Rhinolophus ferrumequinum: one gene and its partner. The protein of the gene in region 1 interacts with the protein of each later gene in a pairwise test. Links are inferred from orthologs where the notes say so. Each region holds a gene or a part of one and is shown in the gene's direction. Other genes may lie near its edges.

Region 1 (7,920 bases):
AGTCGCCTCCTGTTGACTTCCCTCTCTGTGTGTCGTATCCCATCCGACCTAATCCCCTCAGGTTGAAGGAATCCTCCACGTGATGGGAGCTGAACGCCAGGTACTCACCATCCTGACCTTCCCTGCAGCTCGACCCTGTACTCAGCAATCCCCCTCGGCCTTCGAACTGGAAGCTAGCAGTGCTGTGGAGCAGTGCCCAGTGCCCAGGGGGGTGATGCTGCCAGGACAAGCTGGGCCTGGTGCCCGGCAGTAACAGCGTGCTGTCCTCACTAGTTCTGTAATCTGATTTTGGACACTTCCTGGTTGCAAGCCTCAGAGCCTGGTTTTGGGGCACTCCCAGAGATCCTGTGAGCTTAAAGGACTCAGCATGGGTTTCTGTGACTTGCAACCAAGAACCAAACTGATAACAGAAATTGGAATCAGAGTGGTTGTAGGCCATAGGTCTCAGGGAAATGGGGTGGGCGTGGTCTGTGACTGTCTAGTCTTTTGAGGGTGATGGTAAGGAAAATGCATCTAGTGTTGAGGTATGAGACTTAAACACCCTATATCAACTAGTGGCAAAACAATTCAATGAAACACCCGTGTCTTTTGGAATTAAAGGCAAGTCTTTAGAAGAGTGAGTGGCTGTAAGCCATAGAACTATACTGGATGTGAGGAATTCAAGGACTGTGGGGTGCGGTGGTTTCTGACAGTGCTGGATACTTGGCAGCTCTCTCTGGATTTAGAAGACTACATATACCACATTGGTATGTGCTGCTTTAACCCATTTTCCAAGTGACCTGAAAGCTTGCTAACGTTGAGCCACAGCACAGAGCAGGAGAAGCTTCTTCAGCAGGTCCAGGCTGCATGCACGGTGCTCTGCTGGTTGGTCCCCAGGACCCGGTGTATCCAGTGCTCGGTGTGCGGCCACATGCTGGGATGCAGTACAAAGCCCATGACAAGCCCCCCAAAGAGCATCACTATGATTGTACTCAGGGTTTCAGAGCAAAGCCTGGCTCTCTTTGGCTAATAACCACTCTCCTTTTTATAAACTGTTCTTAAATTGCTCCTGGGCCTGGACAAAGATTGGAACCCTGACCACAGATTACCAGGTGACCATGTAACTTAGTTGGCTTATTATGAACTGTCTTATTAAGTATCTTATTAAGTATCTGTCCCACTTAGCCATAAAATGCCCTGTAGCAATCCCTTCCCCAAGAAGACATGGGATATAGAAGAGCAGCTCTGAGTAGGTCCTGTAGAAGGCACAGGCGTGCAACTCCCAGTATGTTCACTCTCATTTTACTGGCACCCCTCCCTCAATTCACATTATGGAAAACTCCCATGACCAAGTGACTAAGGAGGACATTTGAGCTTGGTTTACAGATAGTATCAGCTGGGAGGGGACTGCTAAGGTGTTATAGCTATACTTGCAAGTGGCCTTGCAAGGGCCGTGGGAAAAGGAAATCTTCCCAGTGGGCAGAGCTCTGAGTTGTTCTCTTACGGTTCTCTTCGCCTCAAGAAAGACTATACCAGTTCATGGGCGAGGTGGTCAGGGATTCAGGTTGGTGAAAAGGAGGTTTGGGCGTGGATGTAGGTGAAACTCTCAGAACAGACCTAGAAAGTGAGAGTAGCTGTGTTCTGTGTGAATAGTTATCCTAATGTTCCCACTGCTGAAGATTTAATGTTAGGGGACAAGAAGACCCATCCTATGGAAGTAGGTCCAGCTCCTTCCCTAGTCAGGCCAGTGTCTGCTGACTGGGGTCGTGAACTGACGACGATCATGGGCTTCTCCTTGGCAAGGCTGACCTGGCTATTGCCACTGCTGAGTGCCCATTCGGCATTCATCATTATAGTGGCTCCTTGCTATCCTGGTGGGTACAGTGAATCAACCTCATTGGGAAGAGGATTTGCTTTTCCCACCATCCTACGTGAGTTTACTGAATACCTTGTTTGCCGTCATGGTATTTTAGACATCATGGCATCTGTCTCAATCAGTTCAGGCTGCTATAACAGATATTCCTAGCCTGGATAGCTTATAAACATTAGATATTTATTTGCTACAACAAATTACCATGGACTGGGTCTTTTCAAACAACAGACATTTCTTTCTCACAGTTCTGGAGGCTGGAAGTCTGAGATCAGGGTGCCAGCCTGGTCGGGTTCTGATGAGAGCACTCGTGCGTTGCAAAGGGCCAACTTCTCACTATACACTCATGTGGCAGAGAGCAGGGAGGGAAGGCAAGCTCTAAGCAAGCTCTCTCCTGTTCTTAGAAGGGCATTAATCCCATCATGAGGGCTCCACCCTCATGACCTCATCTAACCCTAATTATTTCCTAAAGGCCCTACCTCCTAGTACCGTCACATTGGGGAGTAGGGTTTCAACATTGGGGAGTAGGAATTTGGTGGGGGACACAAACATTCAGTCCATCGGACCACAGCACTAACTTTAGTGAAAGAAGAAATTGGCTGTCCTATCAGATTCACTAGCCCCATTGTGGACCCCAATAACCAGAAGGAGCTCACTTTACGGAAAAGTAGAACGGCCCATGGAATACACAGCTCTTGAGTCAGGAGCAGATAACAGCTGGAGAGCTTGGATCCCCTTTATTGTTGGAACCAGCAATTCTGGAGGTGTCCATATCCTTCTCATGAGTTTCTTTTCTGTTTAGATGAGCCAGGGTCACTTTCTGTTGCTTGCAATTAGAAACTCCAAATAATATACCTTTCATTGTGCCATCTGTCATAATTTTTTCTGATAAACAGGTTCCTCCACTATTAGTTTGTGAACACAGAAGGCTGTCACCATTTCTTTCTAGTATCTTCCCTATGGTACACGGCACTACATAGTGTAGGACACAGGTTGCAAACTTGTAGACTCTGGGCCATATATTTGAACTGCATTTATTTTGATCAATCCGAAGTGTTTATAAAAAATTGACCTAATGGCCAACACTTAAAAATCGTGAGATTTCATATGCAGTGCACATTTCCACCTTCTCTTGAAAAATTTGACGACCTGGCTATTTTAGGCCCACATTCCCACAACTTCCTTCTTAAAACAAAACACAGGCACTTCCATTTGACAAAGTTTTCACTCACTTTATGAAATTTCATTACTTACCTGGTCCCTGAAGGCGTATGTTTGTCACCCTTGGTGAAATATATGGAATAAATTAATTTAGCAATTAATGCTTGTATTTTCATTTCATACACGCAGAGTCCTTTCTTTCTAATGACTAATAAGCCACTTAGTGATAGGGAAGAAACTTGGGTAGTCACATATATCAGTAAATATTGTTTATAAAACCTTTCTTATTTAGAGTTATCCTTGACCATGGCGAGCTGAATGCCCCGGGTTTGGTTGAGGGGGTGGCTAAAAATTCATCATCTTGATCAGTCCCCTGGGCTAAGCCGAGACCTGATGATTTCTCAGGTAAAAAAAATTACTTCCTGATAACACAAACATGCATTTTGAAGTAGGTTTTAGGCAAGAAGTCACCCTTTCTACTACTGCAAACGAGAAACTGGGAGTTCTTGCTGAGGTGGCCGACTTTCTAGCCGGGGTCCTGGGAAAGGTGGGAGGAGACTGGGACGTAGCTGGCGTTCCGGAGTTTATCCGAGGCTTTTCGGGTGGGGATTCTAAACTAAGGAGTCTCGGAGTGACTCCCTGTGGGTCTGGCGGCCCAGGGCGTGGTTCCTGGCACAGCCCTCCAGCAGTTGTCATTGGGATCAATTTCAGGACTCCAGAATCAAGCCTTCGGAGTTTCACATTTCTGGGGGCTCGTCGCCCCGTCCCCCTCTTAATTTCCCTCCGTCGCAGGACCTGCTCTATCCCCCCTCGGTCCTTCTAGTTAACCCCTCTCCCCCCGCAATACCCTCTCTGGCTCTTTCAGCATCAGTTCCCCCATGGGGGCGGGAGGGGGATACATTTGGGGGTTCCCCTTCCCTTCCCTCCGAGTCGGAGACGGGGGGAGACGCGGGAAGGAGGCCCTGCTAAATTCAGGCTCCAGCGGGGGCTCCGTGGAGGCAGTCGTCACCGAGACCTTTGGCGCGGGACACTTCGCGCGGGGGAGCGCCCCTCGGGTCCGTGCCGCCTGCGTCTGTGGTGCAGCCGCACCGCGCGGAGGCGTCCCGGGCTCCCCGCCCCCGATCCGGCGCTCCCGCGCTCCCCCTAGCGGCCGCCGCGCGGCCTCGCTCCGTCCCAGGCTCGTCGGCGGCGCAGCTCACGTGACCGCGCTCCGGGCCTGCGGCCGCTGTCGGTTCCCCCAGTCACCGAGCGAGAGGGAAGAAACAAGATGGCGGCTGAAGGCGATCCGGAGTGGGGCCCCAGCAATTCGGATTGAGCCTTCTCCCTCCACCCGCTTCCGCCGGCCGGGCCCCTCCCGCCCGGCCCCGCGGGCCTCCCCACCCGGCCCCGGCGCCCCCCACCGCCACCCCTCCGCCCGCCCCTCCCCCCTCCGCTTTCCCTTCTCCCCCCGCCTGGGCTCCAACATGAGGGGCCGGCGGGGCAGGCCGCCCAAGCAGCCCGCGGCTCCCGCTGCGGAGCGCTGCGCCCCGGCCCCGCCGCCGCCGCCTCCGCCGCCGCCCACGTCCGGACCCATCGGGGGGCTGCGCTCGCGGCACCGCGGCAGCAGTCGGGGCAGGTGGGCCGCCGCCCAGGCTGAGGTGGCGCCCAAGACGCGGCTGAGCTCGCCCAGGGGGGGCAGCAGTAGCCGGAGGAAGCCGCCGCCGCCGCCGCCGCCGGCCCCCCCCAGCACCAGCGCCCCGGGCCGGGGGGGGCGAGGAGGCGGGGGCGGCAGGACGGGGGGCGGGGGCGGCCACCTGGCCCGGACCACCCCGGCCCGGAGGGCCGTCAACAAAGTGGTGTACGATGACCACGAGAGCGAGGAGGAGGAGGAGGAGGACATGGTCTCCGAGGAGGAGGAGGAGGACGGCGACGCCGAGGAGACCCAGGATTCGGAGGACGACGAGGAAGATGAGATGGAAGAGGACGACGATGACTCCGATTATCCGGAGGAGATGGAAGACGACGACGACGACGCCAGTTACTGCACGGAAAGCAGCTTCAGGAGCCATAGCACCTATAGCAGCACTCCAGGTACCCACCCAGCCCCGTTGCTGCAGACTCCTTCCCCACCTCCTCTACCCTCCCCCTCTACTCACTCCCTCTCTGGTCTCCCCCACCCTCACCTCCCCCCCAGCAGAGGGGAAATGCGACGGCACATCCAGTGGCAAAAAACGAGATTTACCAGAGGATAGAGGCGCATTGTTCAAAATGGAGATTGCATTGTTGCAGTTTGCAGGCCACACACTCGCTTGCTCTCTTTCTCTACCCCCAACCCCCTCATTTTCCTCTTCAAAATTTGTGCCAGTGCAGTGTCTCCATCGGGCAGGATTGAAACTTTGGCACACATACCCATTGCATTCATTTTTCTCCCCCTTGTTTTGGTTTGGTTTTTTTTTTTTGGAATGAAAGAAGCCTCTTGTTTTGCAAACCTCTTTGCATTTCTAATGTGGTTTCTTTTAGCTTTTTATTCTATATCTGTTCCTTAAAAGGGAATTGAGGATTTAGACAGGTTGTGGCACACAGACATACACATACAACATGTTTCTCTTCACACCCTAGCACACCGTGTGGTTTTAAAATCGTGTTGAGGAAATGGATCAGTTTGGGTTAGTAGGGGACCCTTATCTGGTCCTGTGTGTTTGTTTTTATTGAGTGCTAATGGGCTCGTGCAACAGTTGCTGGTAAATGGCTGATTAAAAAGCAAAGCAGAAAACCAAACAAAACCAAAACAAACGTGGTAATTCACCCCATTCAAAGTCATTTTGGGAAAAGCCAAAATAAAAGTAAGGAAGCACGGGAACCTGTGTCTTAATTAAGTTTGATCCCATTGCTTTGCCTGGGAAATGCAGTTTCGAGTCACCTGTTGCAGGAGATGTACAGTTGATCATGCAGACACAATTGCCGAAGATGAACTTTTGGACCAACTTCTAAGTCACACCGCAGAAGGAGGGGGATTTATTAGAAAACGAATTTTTTTTCTCATTCCTTTTCGAAGGATAAAAATCCTCCCTGGATCTGTAATGAATTTCCCCATGGTGACTCCTCCCCTATTTTCTCACAGAAAGTTTCTCTAGGCTGGTGCTGAGATGCGTTTTTATTTTTTAAGCCACATGATTGCTGCTTTGTGTTAAATACATGGTTGAATCTTACTAAATTGTGAAAAAGGCGTAACTTGTAGCAATAACCTACAAGATTTTTTTCCTTTATATTTTTGTTTATCTGGATTAACTAAATTAGAACCCAGTTTTAAGAGCATTTACAAAGTAAAGTTTTTGAGGAAATAGGATCTTAAGGTGTGTCATTTGTTTTTTTAAGAGAGACTGCGTAGTAGAATATAGCTGCTCGTGCAGTCAATTTAAATATTTCCATTTTCTATAAATGATTAAATATTTATTGGCGGAGTATGATGATTAAACCAGGTGTAGTTCCATTTAGATTGTCTTAACAGCAAATGAAAAAGGTAATTTCTTTTGCCAGACAGTAAGAATATCTGCCTGTCTGTGGAGTGGGGGTGTTGGCAGGAGAATGAAGGGAATGAATCAAGTGTCAACTTTTTTTGTCTTGTCTGTAGCAGGGACGATGCCACTTTTCATTTCTTGCCAACTTAATTTTAGTATGTCATTTATAGTAATAGTTTTTACTTTTAAGAAATCACATGTGGTCTTCTGTACCAAGAGCCCAGAATTGAAACCCCTGGAAACTGAATTACATGATCCCAGGCAGTTTTTTTTCAGGTTACACAGATATAAGGTGTTTTGGCAGGGCAGTTCAGCTAATGTTAACTTCTCTTTGAAGGCCTAGCAAATTTAGGATTGGTAGCCATATGTATGCTGAATTAAATTACAATTTGTGTTTCCTTTTTTAAAAAATACTTGTATATTTGTGTACTTACATGACATTTTTTCTTAATGACATTTATAGTTTATCTTGTGTATACTTGTCCTATCTTTATATGAAATTAAAGATTATACATCCTTATATTAACCTTACATCCCCTAACTTTCCTGGCGCAGTGTCTTGGCATGCATGTAGCGGATGCTCATCAAAGATTGGTTGGATAAATGATTGTTAGTAGGTGAGAACTTGTAACAGATGAAGTTTCGATAATGCTACAGTGGATACCATAACTCCTAAATGTTTTGGATTTGGGAAACTGAAAATTGGTCCTGTTAGATTTTGATAGTTTGATAGTTTGAAAATTGGTCCTGTTAGATTTTGATAGTGAATGTTTTTGTAGCAGAGTTAGTGTGTTTTGAGCTGCTATTTCATATTGCTTGCCAGGCATTTTCCTTTCTTCATTGGATGTGATATTAACTTGTTGGTTGTTTTACTTTTTGAGACATTATTTCTCAAGATCATGGTAGAAGGGGTGATACATTTTGTGTTTTAAACTTTAAGAATGTATCCACTTTCCTACAGTGAGGAACAATCCATGACAGTTGTTTTGGCAAAGCACTAATTTCATATGTTTTTTTGTCTGTACTTCCAGACAATAAAGGCTGGGAAGAAGGCTGTCAGTAACGTGTATATGTATGTATGCTTTGGAAGCAAAAAACGTTCTAGGGCTGGTTTAAGATATCCCAAGAGTGCATGAAGAAATACGATTGGTGGATTTGAATCCTGTTGTACTGTCAAGACTAAAAGAGGAGTATACTTTATTGGTAATTTAGATTAATTTTTGTAGACTAGAATGCTGGCTTAAGTACTAACAAATTAGTATGAGAAATAACTCATCTGTCGAGTACTTTGTAGGTAATAACTGTTGATGCAAAGATATTGGTTGATATTAGTAGCTTAATTTTCTAAAATCATAGATTTGAAAAGGTTTATTCACTGGAGATTAAATATTTTCCTTTTATGGAGAAAAATTT
Region 2 (8,358 bases), on another chromosome or scaffold:
TGGGTTGGGTGCAGAGCGGCAGGGGGTCCAACCTGTCACATCCTTGAGCTGCGAACCTGAGCCTGTTCCTGCTCCGGTGGCTGCCTGGGGCCTGAGGGAGGCCCCCTCAGGGAGGGAGCACCCAGCCACCTCCCTCTCCACTTGCAGCCCCCTTAGGCAGTCAGTAAACCTCCCATTTAGGGCCAGCTGTTTCAAGGTCGAGCACTTTTGCTTCTGGCTCACCTGGATAGGGTATGTCAGGTCCAGAGGACAAGGGACCAGGAGATGAAGCGAGCCTCTCAGGCTGTGTGTTCGAGTCCAGCCCCTCCATGACTGTCCCCGGAGCCAGCTGCTGTCCTGACATTGCCCTGCTACTACCCTCCCCCCAAACAGCTTAAGTCCCTTCTGTGTGGGTGCCCTCTCCCCGCCCCCTCCCGTTCTGATAACCCCTCCTCATGGCCCAGTTGCGCTAATCCTCAGGTCACCTGTTTGGTGGCCTTGCTTTCTATGTCTCCCTGACTCCAAGGAGCCAGTGGCAGTTTTAACTTTGCCCTGTTTCTACCCTGAGCCCAAATATAGCCTCTCTACACTGTACGTGCTACGACTCCTGAGCACAGGTGACGGGAGGCGGCCAGGGATTGGTGCACACCGGCCCAGGGGCTGTTGTAGTTGAGGAAAGAAGACATACATGAAAAGGTGCTTGTTCGCTCAAGTCTGTCTTTCCATCGTGTCCTTCCCAAGCCACTGGTCAGCAGTCCCCTCTCCTGTGTGCACAAACCCCAGGTAAACACGTACTCGCACATCTGTGTTACATGTGAGCGGGCAGGCACTCTGGAGGGGGCTCAGAGATGGGACAGCAGACCGAGTCAGACCCTGACCTCGGGCTCATGTTTCAGAAGAGAAATAAGGTTGGGCATCCGGAGATGAGGCTGGGTAGGTAGTGCACACAGGGCGGTAAGGGGAAGCCAGGAAGGGAGAAATGGCTTCTGATGTTAGCGCACATTTTCAGGCCGTTCTTCCTAGGCATCTGCACACAAAGGACAGGGCAGCCCGTCTCTGAGGAGGTAGTTCAGACTGTAGGAAGGAAGGTATGCAGCCAAAGCGGGCATCATGGGAAAGGAGACTCCGAGTGATGACTGACATCAGATGTGGGGGGCGGAGTCCAGAGGGAAGGAACAAGCGACCGGCATTATTGTGCTCAGAGGAAGTCAGGAGAAAGGGCAGCACTGAGGTCTTCGCTGGCTTTCAGAGCCCTGCTGAATGTGACCTCCTGCGAAGCTTCCCGGACTGCTCCTCCATGGACAGGCGCACAAGCCCCAAATACCTGATCTCCTGGTATCCCTGAGACCCCCACACTCCACCCAGAGCCTGGGGGACTTGCCCAGAGTTGTCCAACAAGTTAACACCAGGGTTTTGGAAGCACATAGGACAGCAGGTTAGGGCATGATGAGGGGCGATGAGAGAAGAGGTAGGTGGGGAGTAAACCTCTTTGCTCAGCCCACTACAGAAGCTAAGTAGCATGGACCCGGCCGTGCTGCAGCGCCTCCTGAGCTTGGACCGTTTGCTGGGCTCCCAGGGGACGCAGGGGACCCCTCTGCTGAGCACCCCAAGGCGAGAGCGGATGGTGCTTATGAAGATAGTGGAGGAGAAGGATTTGGAGATTGAAGTAAGTGCTGGAGAGGTGGGGGTGGGGGTTCCTATTGGCCTTGAGACGCAATCGAGGCTCTTCAGACAGAGAAAGACACTGAAAGGCTGGACCAGCATCCAGTTTTCACCCAACGCTGGACTCCCCGGTGTTTCAGCTTCTGCTTGAATGTCCTAAACAGGGCTGAACTTTGAAAAATAATTAAGATCAGATGTGAGGAGGGGAGAGGAAAAAAAATTCCCGGCTCAAATTAAGTTAGGACTTCCATGTTTCAGAGAGGCTGTTCCACCTCTGGGCAGCCCTGATCATTAGCAAGCCCTTAACTAGGCTGGGGGCCAGCTGCCTCCTGGAGGTTTCTCTCACTGGCCCCCAGCCTTCCCTCTGGGGCCTCGGAGTCCTGCACTCACTTTGCTAATCCACTGTCCTTTCAAGGTGCCCTGACGTTGGTTCTGGGTCACCTCTCTCCCTGATCCTCCCCAACAGAGGCTTAAGATGGAGCAGAAAGAACTGGAAGCCCAGGTGTTGGCCCAGAAGGCTGTGGACTCAACAGAGGGAGAGAATTGTTCTCCCCCCATGCTCCTACCCCTTGCCCGCCGCAGAGTCACAGTGGCCAAGCCCCTCCAAAAGGCCGTGGTGATGCCTCTACAACTGAGTAAGTTTGGCTCTGGGGGCCAGGAGGGCCCAGGTCACTGAGCCGTCAGGAGGGAGGAGGTGTTCGGAGCGGCAGTCCTTATGTCACTCGTGTCCTCCCCCGAGCCAACTCGGGAGCGAGGAGGAGGCTGGAAGGCGAGCTAATGCTCCGGCTCTCAGGTGCTTAGCACAGGGGCTAGGCTGACAGGTGCGTGACTGATCGTCATGCAAGACCGACGGAGATTCCTTTCAAATGGTGGATAAGAGAGAAAGGTCATGTGGAAACACAACAGTGGAGGGGAACTGGGGAATCAAATGGGGAGCCAGGTGGCTACCAGGGAGGGTGAAGGGGGGCTTCCGTAATGACTCCAGCTCCCAATTCTTGCTTTCAGTTCAGGAACAGGCAGCATCCCCCAATCCCGACATCCATATCCTGAAGAAAAACCGCAAGAGAAAGGTGAGAGCAGCTGGAGGCTTAGGCTACACGTACAGCCTAGAAGTAAGGGACAGTGTGACTCGTGGGAAGAACACTGGCCCTGGCGCTTCACAGCCTGTCACAACATTTATTAGCCATTTACATCTCTTCCAAAGGGCACTCAGGGTGAAATGCAGATAGGAGTACCTGGGCGGAGTGGTTGTCTATTACTTGTTCCTTTCCTTCCTTCCTGATGTCTCATGCTTAGTAACTACTCACTAGGAGGGTGTGTAGTCTGGGTCCTGCCCCCTACAAGCTTAGGAGCCCACACAGGAAAGCATGACTAAACACTCAAGAAATCAAACAACACTGGAAGAATTGCCAGAAACTGAGATGGTACCGTTGGGAGAGGTGCCACTTCTGGAGTACCCTCTATGTGCTTTCCTGGGGTGCAAGGCAACTTTTTGTTTGTCAGAAATGAGGGACCAGATTTAAGCTTACTGTGTGCTTTGCATTCACTCATTCGATCTTCACAGCAACTCTATTACCATTGTTCCCACGGTGGGTAGAAGGAGTTCCGTGGCCAGAAGGGAAGGGTTTCTGCACGGACACTTGACTGGAGGCAGAGAGGCTGGAGCGGGCAGGGAAGAGGGCTGCTGGCCTCCGCAGGAGTCGCGGTCTGTTGCTGTAGGCCTGCTGAGCAGCACACTGCTGTGTGGGCCACTCACCTGGTCCTGCCTCCTAGCGGGAGGACCTGGATGCCTCCGAGCCCCAGGAGAAGGCCGAGGACTGCTGGGAGCTACAGCTCAGCTCGGGGCTACTGGCCCATGGGCGCCAAAAAATACTGCAGCTGCTGAACGAGGGCTCAGCGCGGGATCTGCGAAGCCTGCAGCGCATCGGCGAAAAGAAGGCCCAGCTCATCGTGGGCTGCAGGGAGCTCCACGGCCCCTTCAGCCAGGTAACGGCCCGTGGGAGGTAGGCCTGGGACACTTGGATTTGGGGGAAGGAGCCTGGTACCCCCGACCCCCTTTCCCCATTACTGCTGTCCGGCCAGGTGGAGGATCTGGAACGGGTGAAAGTCATGTCAGGGAGACAGCTGGCGTCGTTCCTGAAGGTGAGCTCACGGCTCGGCCCCGCCCCCGGCTCGCGCCCCGCCCCGCCCCGCCGCTAACGCCGCTCTCCCTTCGCTCGTTGCAGGCGAACATCCTGGGTCTCGCCGCGGCGGGCCAGCTCGGCGGTCCCTCCTGACTACCGGCTCCGCTCTTCACTCTGCCTTTCGTTTTTTAAGTCGTTGTATAACCGCTTCTGATATAAATACAGTTTTAACTCCGCTGCTTCGGCCTGATTCTTGAGACTGGGGGCGGGGCCGGGGTACAACTGTCCCTGGGACGGGCCCCACGCCCCGGGGGTTAACTCCTCCGGCCGCCATCTTTGGGGACACGAGCGGCAGCACAGGATTGTAAATAAACCACTGGAGGGGGAAAGACGGTGGCCGACAGGAAACAAAAAGCCTACGCGGAAGCACGGGGACGACGACCGTTAGGCGGGCGCGCGCTTTCAGTTTGGCCCCGCCCCATCCGTACCCCCGGAGCGCGCACCCCTATTCTCCCGTTCGTCAACAACAGCGGTTTTGTGCGCGTGCGCGCGAAATAACGGCTGCTGGTGGAGGGAAGAGGGGGGGTGGAATCTTTGAAGTGGGGGGAGAGAAGCCGCCCCGTCTCCCGCGCGCCCACCACCTGCGCCATCGTCAGCCAATCAGCGGCCGTCTCAGGGGTCTCGCGCTTGGGACGACTCCGACGGCTGGGTGGCTCCCCCGTCCCTCCTCCCGCCAGAGTCCCTCTTGTACCTCCCCCCTCCCGCTGGCCTCGCGCGCGCTCGCGCTCGCGCCCGCTCCAGCCTCTTGTGTGTCCTCGCGCCCCCCGCCCGCCCTCCCCGCGCGCAGTGTGCTCCGCTCCCCCCACCCCCTCCTCCTTCCCCCCTCCCGCCAGCCCCGCGCGCCTCCTCCCTGGGTTCCCCCTCCCCCACTGCCGCCTCCTCCTCCTCCCGCCCCAGGGTGAGCGCGAGCCACCTCCCTCCCTCCCTCCGCCATGGATCCCGGCAACTGGAGCAGCTTCATCTTCCAGGTAACAACCCCCTCCCCCCGCCCCCCCTTCCCACACCCCCTCCCGCCCGCCCTCCCTCCCGTCCCACCCCCCCTCCGCGCGCCCGGTGCGCGCGCAGCTGTCCCCCTCCCTCCCTCGCGCCCTCCCCCGCCCTCCCCGAGGCGCCGGCTGGGCGCGCGCGCGGCGGGGGCCGAGGCTGCTCCCTCGCTCCCCCCACCCCGCCCCGCCAGGCTCCAACCGCCACCGCCGCCGCCGCCCGGGCCCCCGCCCCCGGTCGCTGGCCCCGCGGGGCCTCCCGCCCCCACCCAGGGGGCGTCGCCGCCGCCGTCGCTGCGCGTTCTGCGGCCCGCCAGGCGCCCTCCTTCCCTCCCTCCCGCCAGCCGGGGTGCGCGGGCGGCGGGGTGGCCCGAGGGCCATGCGTTCGGCGCGGCCCAGCCGGGCCGGCCGGGGGCGGCGCCCCGAGCCCGGGCCCCGCGCGGCCCGCGCCCCCGGCCCCTGCTGAGCCCTGGGGGCCCCGCCGTGGCCGAGGCCATGTTCCCCGTGTTCCCTTGCACGCTGCTGGCCCCCCCCTTCCCCGTGCTGGGCCTGGACTCCCGGGGGGTGGGCGGCCTCATGAACTCCTTCCCGCCACCTCAGGGTCACGCCCAGAACCCCCTGCAGGTCGGGGCTGAGCTCCAGTCCCGCTTCTTTGCCTCCCAGGGCTGCGCCCAGAGTCCATTCCAGGTGAGTAGGGGCCGGCCGTGGTGGGCTGCACGGGGCCGGGAGGGCGCCGACCCGCGGCTGCGGCCCACACGGCGCCTTGTCTCCGCAGGCCGCGCCGGCGCCCCCACCCACGCCCCAGGCCCCGGCGGCCGAGCCCCTCCAGGTGGACTTGCTCCCGGTTCTCGCCGCCGCCCAGGAGTCGGCCGCGGCCGCGGCGGCCGCCGCCGCCGCCGCCGCCGCCGCTGCCGTTGCCGCTGCGCCCCCAACCGCGGCCGCCGCCTCTACAGTGGACACAGCGGCTCTGAAGCAGCCGCCCGCGCCCCCTCCGCCGCCCCCGCCGGTGTCTGCGCCCGCTGCGGAGGCCGCGCCCCCTGTCTCTGCCGCCACTATCGCCGCAGCCACCGCCGTCGTAGCCCCAACCTCGACGGTCGCCGTGGCCCCGGTCGCATCAGCCTTGGAGAAGAAGACAAAGAGCAAGGGGCCCTACATCTGCGCCCTGTGCGCCAAGGAGTTCAAGAACGGCTATAATCTCCGGAGGCACGAGGCCATCCACACGGGAGCCAAGGCCGGCCGGGTCCCCTCGGGTGCTATGAAAATGCCCACCATGGTGCCCCTGAGCCTCCTGAGCGTCCCCCAGCTGAGCGGAGCCGGAGGAGGAGGGGGAGAAGCTGGTGCTGGCGGCGGAGCGGCCGCAGTTGCCGCCGGTGGCGTGGTGACCACGACCGCCTCGGGAAAGCGCGTCCGGAAGAACCACGCCTGTGAGATGTGCGGCAAGGCCTTCCGCGACGTCTACCACCTGAACCGACACAAGCTGTCGCACTCCGACGAGAAGCCCTACCAGTGTCCGGTGTGCCAGCAGCGCTTCAAGCGCAAGGACCGCATGAGCTACCACGTGCGCTCACATGACGGCGCTGTGCACAAGCCCTACAACTGCTCCCACTGTGGCAAGAGCTTCTCCCGGTGTGCACGGGGCCTCGGCCGCCCACTGGGCGGGTGGGGAGGGAGGGCCGGCGATGGAGGTGGCCTGGCCTCGCCTCGGCTGGCTGCTGGGGAGGGAGGCGGTTTGTGAGGACGGGGACTGGGAGCCCCTCCCAGGGAGGAGGGAGGCAAGCCTCTCCTGGTTACCAGGGAGCAGGGGGTGGTACTTAGCAAAAGAGGTGGGTCCTTGGGTTGTAGGAAAGCTTGGCGCGGAGGAGGCAGCCCTGCTCCAGGGGAGGGACTTCCTGTCTAAGCAGGATTCTGAAGCCCCTGGCTTGGGAGCAAATGCAGGGACCTTTGGAAAGGCCTGTTGTCCTAGGTGAGGCCGATCTGGGGGCATCTCCACACCCCAGGGCCCTAATCCCAACCCCAACGTATCCTCAGGCCGGATCACCTCAACAGCCACGTCAGACAAGTGCACTCAACAGAACGGCCCTTCAAATGTGAGGTAGGAAACCCGCTGCCTCCTGGCCCCGTGTCATGATTTTGATCCTCATTGTAGTTGTCTGAGCTCAGCCTCTCAGACCCCCTTTTTCTCTCTCTTTTTGCTTTTTCACTCCATTTGCTCATCCCTTCAAGGCCTCGTCATCTCACTCCCTTTTCCTACAGATCAAAGATCCCCAAGGCTCTGATCCCTTTAACCTCTTGTCCCCCTCTTCCCACTCCCTGAAGCTTTAACTCTCCTGACACCCCCCACACCCCTCCCCCTTCCCCAGAAATGTGAGGCAGCTTTTGCTACGAAGGATCGACTGCGGGCGCACACAGTACGACACGAGGAGAAGGTGCCATGTCACGTATGTGGCAAGATGCTGAGCTCGGCTTACATTTCGGACCACATGAAGGTGCACAGCCAGGGCCCGCACCATGTCTGCGAGCTCTGCAACAAAGGTGCGTGCCGAGGGCTGCTGGGGGGGCAGGGGACGAGGGTGGGGACAGCCAGAGGCCCTGCCACCGACGGGAGCTCATGGTGTCTAGAGCCCTCTAGGAAGCAAATGAAGCGGCACTGGGACCACTGGACATCGTTAAGTTTTAAGAGGTCATGGCTGGAAGAGACGATCTGCCAGAAAGAGGCGATTTCTGGGTGTGCGTGGGGAGAAGGGGCGTGGGCCATGGCGGCTTGGGGAAGGAGTGGTCAAGAGAGCCAGTGTCCAGGGGCGGGGGGGCAGGGTTTCGGCTCTGCAGCCATAAGTGTTCGCCTTCGGCTCGTGGGGCAAGTGGAGTACATTGGCAGGGGTTTGACAAGCACACACTCTGCCCCAGTAACAGAGAAACGGATTCGCTTACTCACTGTGTCACTGGGCTGAGAATGTATGGGGCACGAGGGAGGGGACACAGCCGTCTCTGCTGAGGGTCACCCCTTCAAGTGGTTAGGAGTCAGTGTCCGGTCACCCCAGGAGAGATCCCCCAGTTTGGAGAGAATGGGTTCTGTGGGTCTGAAGGCCAAGAAGCGGCCACTCAGCCAGGTCCCAAGTTGAGGGAGGGGCTGTGCCCGACCAGCCCCCGCAGAATAGCTGGCCCCAGGTTACCAAGGATGAGGTGGGAGGAGGACAGGGCCATCGGAGAAGGGTGTCCCCAGCCTAGGAGAACAGCCCCGTCTCTGGGGTCTCCACCTGGCTGACCCCATCCCCCATCCCAATCCCCCCCCCCCATAGGCTTCACCACGGCAGCATACCTGCGCATCCACGCGGTGAAGGACCACGGGCTCCAGGCCCCGCGGGCTGACCGCATCCTGTGCAAGCTGTGCAGCGTGCACTGCAAGACCCCTGCCCAGCTGGCCGGCCACATGCAGACCCATCTGGGGGGTGCCGCCCCCCCTGTCCCGGGAGATGCCCCCCAGCCACAGCCCACCTGCTGAGGGGGACCCCGCACCCACCAGGCAAGGCGTGGGGCATGGCTGGGGTGGTGGG

The links.
Region 2: the proteins of BPTF (region 1) and MAZ interact in a two-hybrid assay, tested with the Homo sapiens proteins (2 studies listed by BioGRID). The link is inferred for Rhinolophus ferrumequinum from reciprocal best matches to the Homo sapiens genes BPTF and MAZ.

What each region holds. Positions count from the first base shown.
Region 1 is NC_046304.1:43,233,753-43,241,672, reverse strand, and holds the start of BPTF (nucleosome-remodeling factor subunit BPTF), read left to right. Parts: upstream 1-4,275; 5' UTR 4,276-4,473; coding exon 4,474-5,080; intron 5,081-7,920. UniProt on the Homo sapiens protein: Regulatory subunit of the ATP-dependent NURF-1 and NURF-5 ISWI chromatin remodeling complexes, which form ordered nucleosome arrays on chromatin and facilitate access to DNA during DNA-templated processes such as DNA replication, transcription, and repair.
Region 2 is NW_022680357.1:841,428-849,785, forward strand, and holds the start of MAZ (myc-associated zinc finger protein), read left to right. Parts: upstream 1-5,135; 5' UTR 5,136-5,302; coding exon 5,303-5,494; intron 5,495-5,582; coding exon 5,583-6,433; intron 6,434-6,835; coding exon 6,836-6,899; intron 6,900-7,030; exon of another isoform or gene 7,031-7,167; coding exon 7,168-7,339; intron 7,340-8,103; coding exon 8,104-8,306; 3' UTR 8,307-8,327; intron 8,328-8,358. Other genes in the region: kinesin-like protein KIF22, read left to right, coding at 1,477-1,645, 2,108-2,276, 2,647-2,711, 3,415-3,627, 3,724-3,783, 3,867-3,917. UniProt on the Homo sapiens protein: Transcriptional regulator, potentially with dual roles in transcription initiation and termination.